Bombyx mori: one gene and its partner. The protein of the gene in region 1 binds, or shares a complex with, the protein of each later gene. Links are inferred from orthologs where the notes say so. Each region holds a gene or a part of one and is shown on either strand. Other genes may lie near its edges.

Region 1 (3,839 bases):
GCTTCACGGCAGAAATAGGCGGGGCGGTGGTACCTACCCGTGCGGACTCACAAGAGGCCCTACCACCAGTAAATGTAAATAATATGCAACCAAATGAAACTAATTCGGATACGAACCTGTCGTCGTCAAATAAAACGATCTCCAAAGATTTAACCGAAAGGTCCGATTCAGTGATTCCAAAGAAATGTAGGGTTTCATTGAATTCAGGATTTTTCGTTTTATGAACGGTTTTCGTTCTAAGTCTATTCGAATATGTGCCTTCTGCAAACGAGAATTTAATTTTTACATTACAGCCAACCCTAAAATAGTGAAATTCAATGAATATAGTCTTCTTGTCCAATTAAAACAACTTTTACGGTTATTAATCTTAGTTACGGACGACCGCAAGATTGATATGTAAAAGTGGTTTTAATTTATCTTTAAGACCTGCGAAAACCGAATAGTTTTAGTAGATCTCTTTCTTACCTTTTGGCAAAATCTCTAATCTACAGAACGGATCGGACAACCCTGTCATGTCCATGCCAATTAGCCCTCTGGCTCTTAGCACCGTGACCGCTAACGAGGATGTAGCGTTTTCGTATGCCAGCCGTATCTCTAACGTACCAAAACCGGCATCAGGGATGGCCGGGGCCCTTTCGATTTGTGTTACCGGTTTTTGTGCATCCTTTCTCGCGTTCCGTACGCTGTAAGCACTGCTTTTACTGCTTGTCCGTTTCAAACCCAATGGCCTTTGGTTGAGACTGTCGGCCCTGTGAAGGCTTAACCCACTGAACCCGTGTGTCAGAATGTCAGTTTCATTCCAGTCAAATGGGCCGTCCTGTAAGTGAGTATATAGTAAAAAATATAGTTTGAATATATGGTATAAATGCGCACGTTAATGCATATGGATCGTGTTAGAAATCAATGAAGTTAGGTATGGAATGTGTGACAGAGCTGATCTCTTGCGATTTTAAAATATATCGACTTAAATATATCCGTCAATACACACATTAGAAGTACCAACTATCAAATAAAAAATAGAACATAAATAAAGTAACTTCAATAAGAATAAGTTAAAAAAAAATTAGTAATTTTTAATCTAGTGCTATTTTGAAACACAAAATTGAACTATAATTAAACATTAAAGCCCTACGACTTCCTTAGTCTTTCAATTATTTCACTCATTCGTAGTGTTAGAACAAACTGAACATTCTTGATTAAAGGCCTAAACAAACTAAGTTTTCCTGCTGCCATTACGAAGTTATGGGAAGTACGAGTCCAGTCCTTATTAAATGTAACTTCTCCATGTGTTATTCAGTTTTCGGATATGACCGGAGGCTATTCGTTTGAGCTAAAGCTACACAAAGAATAAAATGTGAAAATTTTCGTAACGTTTTAATATCAAACGAGTCTTCGAAGATTGTTTTCATGTTCTAAACAACAAAGGAGATTATAATTTTAGTTCGAGGAATTCTCTTACATTTAAAAATGTTGACATGCTCTATATTTGGTCAGAAAACTTCGCTGATGCCAAATTGCAAGCGCGCACTAGTTATACCGCCACGTTGCCTATTTCTATCGTTAGATAGTCATGGAGAGCCTAAAGCATTGGCGTGGCTATACACATCAATTGAAATCTCATTTCTATGGGCTCCGGTAACTAACAGATATCAGTTGGCGAACCGTAAAACCACTTCACCAAATTAAGCAATAAAAAAATCTTAATACCCGTCTATTATGGATAATCATCAATAGAAACACTGTTCTAGTTTAATCATAAATCCATTAAATGAACAAATGGTATTTTTATATCGTTATTGTCTACTAAATTAGATCACCCTTAATTGGGTGAGTCAATAATAAAACGTATGTGTCAATTAGCAGCGCCCTGTTGCAGCCTCCCCATCCCATTTCCTCCATCCGTCATCTTGTATGACGCACGCAGTACGAGGGTTGTAACAGTAAAATATCCGGTTTTATTTGCTATGGTTTTTCATACAGATTTATGAAATGAATATAATTTTGCTCCACAAGTAGTTGTTCATCAGCTTGGTCACAAAACCACAAAATATGATATATATTTTTTTGAAGTTTGTACACAAACTCTACTAATCACAATAGTCTAGTCTATGTTTTAAATTTTAATATGTTTTGCCTAATATGAATCTAGTTTTGATTGAGTTAACTATGAAACAAAAATGGACGTTAAGGTAGTAAATTTTTAAATTTAAATTTATAAACCAGTGACAGCCCTACGAGGACATAGCGAAGGCCAGACAACGGTCCATCTCCTCGACTTTCCATTTATATACAGACGCTGAGTGTCCATTTTATGGCGTTTACAAATCGTTAGTTTTTATTCATGAGATTTTCATCAATCTGCATAATGTTGTTACATTTCTTACTCCGGTAACAGCTCTTGAAGCTAACTTGTAATTTATAGCTCGTTAGATCGGAGCTTTACGACTTAAATTTACATGTAGCTTGATTTTGAGTGAAATTACAGCTTTAAATTGATGTTTTATTTTTGTCTTTAAAGGCAAATTAAACGTTATATGTTTTATTCCAAAGAAAATCTCCGATGTTATTTCTGCAACAGTACAACACGATACTTTGTCCGATTATCTATTCAGTTTTTTTGGAAATTTGTTTTGTAAGCCACTGTTTTTGTCATAGTACTTCTACTTTGTACAACCAACCGTGTTACTTTGTAACTAGTCAGAAAAAAAACTCGATTTGCATTAAGTTAGTTAAACTAGGGAAACCGGGTCACGGCCAGCTTTTTTTTTTCTTTTTTTTTCCCTACCTATGCTGATAGCCTTGAGAGGCTATTTCAGCTTCTCCTTGACGTGTAGGTGAACTCACGGGGCTCAAACCGGGAGTGTTGCTAACATTGGCCCTAGCAAGAGCAGTGCTTCGCGGAATCTACCACAGGTTCGGAAACGCGACCGACTGAGAAAATCCGGCGAGAGACTCAGTGGGCTACGCCCCGCTGTGATTTACGCTTTAAATATGAAAATACTAGCGACCCGCCCTCGCTTCGCTTCGGAAACTGTAATTTATTATTGATTTCTCCACTATTTAATGGATCTTATTATACATATAAACCTTCCTCTTCAATCACTCTATCTATTAAAAAAACCGCATCAAAATCTGTGGTGTAGTTTTAAAGATTTAAGCATACATAGGGATATAGGGACAGAGAAAGCGACTTTGTTTTATACTATGTAGTGAAGTAGCATTCTTTCTATTCATTCTGTAGCACTCCAAATATGTTTGTATTTAGAAAATTAAAAAGAAACACGTTTACCTCAAAATTTCGTTATTGAGCTTTAACTCATGCATACGATTTTAAACTATTTGTTTGTTTCACAGATATTCTGCATTGTCTTGGCTTTGTGGATGGCTAGAACTATAAGAGTCGAACGTCGGAAGCTACAACAAAATTTACAAGCACATTTCGAAACATAAAACTGGTCTTGTTCAGTCCATACTGCGTTGTCACAATGTTAAATTTTTTATGATTAAGGGGAATTTTAGCTGTTAATGGAAAAGTGCTTAGGCGTTTATTCGCATGCATACTCACACGCTATTGTTTTTAGGAATACATTTTTGTTGTTTGCCAATGGTATTGGTGTCAACTCTATTCATAGTGTATTCTATTTTGGTCTGCCATACGATAGTTTAATGTTATCTAGCTTCAAAGCCTCACTCACTATCTTTGTGTGATTCGTAGGATAAGACACTTATATTAAGATTCGATTCCCTATATCTTTTAATTAATATTATTGCATTTAAGGTTTTTAGAATTTAGAAGACTGTCAGATTTGGAATGTAAGGAATTTTCACGTTTTCACATG
Region 2 (3,424 bases), on another chromosome or scaffold:
TAACTGATTTGTTTTCTTGCTGAAAAATTCTATAAAGCAGTTAAACAAGCATACGTTCGTAAGTAAGAATTTGTTTAGCACAGATAGAACAGCTAGTTCATCTAATAATACTTTACATGAGTCGTCTATTATCAAAGGCGGCAATCTGTACATTTGGACAAAATTTTTTTATTGATATGTCAATACAGATTTATTTGAATATAATCGTCTCCTTCAAAGAATACGGTTCAAAACCTGCATTAAATAAAGGTTAATAGTTAACCTGTTATTTATCTAAGATGTCGTTCCGAAGAGTTTTGTGACTGCCAATGGAATACAAAGTCAATAATTCGTTTTTCTGATTTACCAATCATTGTCCAAAAGTCAGATTGCCGCCTTTGATAATAGTCGACTCACATACAATAGCGCAAGGACGAGGCTTTTTGAACATCTATATGCTTTTTACAAACCACTAAAAATATACTTGTCATTTATTTGGTTATCAAGATGCAATCAAATATAGCATCTTAATTCAAACCAATGTTTACTAGAAACTAATAATGCCAAAACTGTACCATCATATTTTATACGTACCATTTGAAAATTCTCTATTATTATTCGTGAACAAATTCAAATACGGACTATAGATTAGGCGCTTTTAGGATTATTATTTTTTTGTTGTTTGATTTACGCGTATTTATAAACAATCCACGAGACTGTGTGTTTGTCTGTTGTGTGTTTGAGTGCCGCCGTCGTTTACTTGAGGAGCTCGTGAGCGCGCTGGTTCGCCAGAGTTATCCTCGTTTCATTTGACTCTCCCTATGATACACAAGACCCGTATTTTTTTTATATATATATATAGTACAAGCTCAATACACAGCGACTGCTCATGTTTATAATAATAAAAGCGGCGTCGGACCGGCTATAACGACTTATCCGCGCTTGCCATTTCCATTGGCATGTCAGTCGCTGTTTCTTGACAGACAGAGTATATAACATGTTAGTTAGTATGAATGCGTGTTACTGATGACCTCTAATTCTGCGGGAGTCGGACATGTTATTCGAATGATGTCGGAACTAATTCCGGTATGTGGTTATGTAATGTATTCATTGGGAGTCATGACATCGTGAGACGAGAGTACATTACTAAATTACGAAAAAAAAAAAAATCGTATCATTCTTATTTCTAAATCTAATAGAGCATGCTTAAGATAGAAGAATAGGCGATAAGAGTATGCAACTATATCACATTTGAACACTAATTTTTTATAGGTCGACTATTTAAGGTTTATAAACAGATTTAAAACTTCATACATAGTTAATAATAATGATAATAACCGGGAACAAGTGACAGGCGGTCATCCAGCCTCAAACAAGAGACTGATATAAATAGCAAAAAGACCTTTTAATTATTATTTTTGCGTACTGTTGGACGAGCTCACAGCCCACCTGGTGTTAAGTGGTTATCGGAGCCCATAGACATCTACAGCGTAAATGCCGCCACCCACCCTGAGACATGGGTTCTAAGGTCTCAGTGTTACAATGAATGTATGGCCAATGTGGAAATCGAACCCACGTTCTTCGACCCAGCAATCAGGAGCACCATCGATTCAGTCACCAAGTAAAATTGTTTAAAACTTCATATTTACTTCTTTTTTTTGCATAATAATATACTTGGTTGACTTAGCTGTCGTGGAAATGTATATTTTATATCTCCTCGTAATTGGCTAATGAGGAAATAATAACTCTTTTTGGGTGTCTCACTTGGCGACGGGGGAATTTGGTTATTCTATTCGTATCACAGATTAATCTAAGCGCCGGAGGTAACAAGAGATTTTATCCGCTTCATAGGCTTACTTGGCTACCGAGGAAACATGTTATTTTATCTTATCATAAATTGACAGGGCCGTTGAGGAGATATTATATTTTAACTGCCTCAAACTCTTATTCGACCAAAGTAAGTTAATCTCTAAATAACAACAACAAGAACAATTCTTTTATCTCCAGATGACCAATGACATGCATTTCTTGTTCGAGACTTTTACAATAGCAACACTAAGTAGAATTTAACCAGAATTACGACCTAAATCTTTATAGGTTATAACGACTTTTAAAAATAAATCCTAGCTACGTCATGTTTTCAGTTATTAACCAATCGGATTTCGACTCTATTTTTTTTTCTACCCAATACCTGCCAGTAAGCGGGTGATCAAACAATTTCGAGGGCCACTAAGCGCTACATTTTTCGTATAATGGACAAACTCTATCTAAGCAACTTCGTTACTATAGTGACAGGCAAATGCATACACATTGAAATGGTGATCAATGAGTGCTATGAGAAGCGACAGAATTCATCGAGGAAAATCAATTCGTTTCTTCTCATTAGCAGATTAAAATTTGAAAACCACACCAGATAATGTACAAGACGAAGATTTGAAATATATTTCGATTTGATCAGTAAATTCGTTGGTAGTGTTGCCATTTTATTTATTTCTCTGATGTAAATATTAAATATAATAATTACTGTAGATAATTAGTTTAATAAAAAAAACCAGACTATTTTTGTTGTATCTTAATATTAAAAACATGAAAAAGTTAAGTTTAAGAGAACTTTAGAATCTATTTAAATGTTATTTTCATTTATTCTTTATGATAATATAGACAAAAAAACATTTTAAAATACGTCTGTACATACGTGCAAAGGAGTGCTTAACTACTCTTTTTTAATTTTATTTCTTTTCAGGAATTAAATAACAGCTTATTTAAATTTAAATAGAAGTAAATGAGAATATAGTAAAAAAAATTTTCTATCTGGCAACACTAATTTTACGTAAACATTCAACGAATTTACTTTGTTCGAACTATACAGGTCTGTCACGTAGTAGGGTTGTGACGAACCATTCGATCTTACCTTGCGATTGATGCGGTCGATCTGTCGGTTCTGGTTCTCGAGCTCGGAACCCATGTCCAAGGCCATGTTGCGCAGATTCCCGATCATGGTGTTCACTTGACCCATGTTCTCCTCCATTTCGTCTTCACGAGCGTCGTTCGTTATCCTATCACACGACTTATATATTAAACGACAGAAAAAATATCTATCGTAAAAAAAACGGATCAACATTAATTGATTTTTAGATTAAATTTAGATTAATCGATATATTAATGCGAGAAGCAAAAATTTTGTATCCCTTTTTAAGAAAATTGCGCGGACGGTATGAGTATGAAACTTCCCACTCTTATAGAGAATATACAGAAGGGGTGAAGAATGTTATTTTTTTTTAATTTGCTTAAAAATTCATGAAATCAATAAAACAAGACATTACACACACTACCATTTGTATATGTATTTAACACACACAATGCGTGTGTGTTATATACTATTTGTTTATTGCCAAACTTTTCTTATTGCTTATAGTCTGTGGTCAAATTGAGAATAGATTAAATA

The links.
Region 2: the proteins of rabphilin-3A (region 1) and synaptosomal-associated protein 25 are in contact, whole or in part, in a crystal structure (PDB 5LOW), measured with the Rattus norvegicus proteins. The link is inferred for Bombyx mori from reciprocal best matches to the Homo sapiens genes RPH3A and SNAP25. Residues at the interface, in NP_598202.2 of Rattus norvegicus: His617, Ser618, Ala621, Ile648, Ser649, Ala650, Lys651, Gly652, Leu655, Tyr659, Leu662, Lys663, Lys665; in NP_112253.1 of Rattus norvegicus: Glu38, Asp41, Ile44, Arg45, Leu47, Val48, Met49, Asp51, Glu52, Glu55.

What each region holds. Positions count from the first base shown.
Region 1 is NC_085122.1:7,032,481-7,036,319, reverse strand, and holds part of rabphilin-3A, read right to left. Parts: intron 818-3,839; coding exon 466-817; intron 262-465; coding exon 117-261; intron 1-116. UniProt on the Homo sapiens protein: Plays an essential role in docking and fusion steps of regulated exocytosis.
Region 2 is NC_085131.1:7,036,856-7,040,279, forward strand, and holds the end of synaptosomal-associated protein 25, read right to left. Parts: intron 3,036-3,424; coding exon 2,738-3,035; 3' UTR 799-2,737; coding exon of another isoform or gene 736-798; 3' UTR 703-735; downstream 1-702.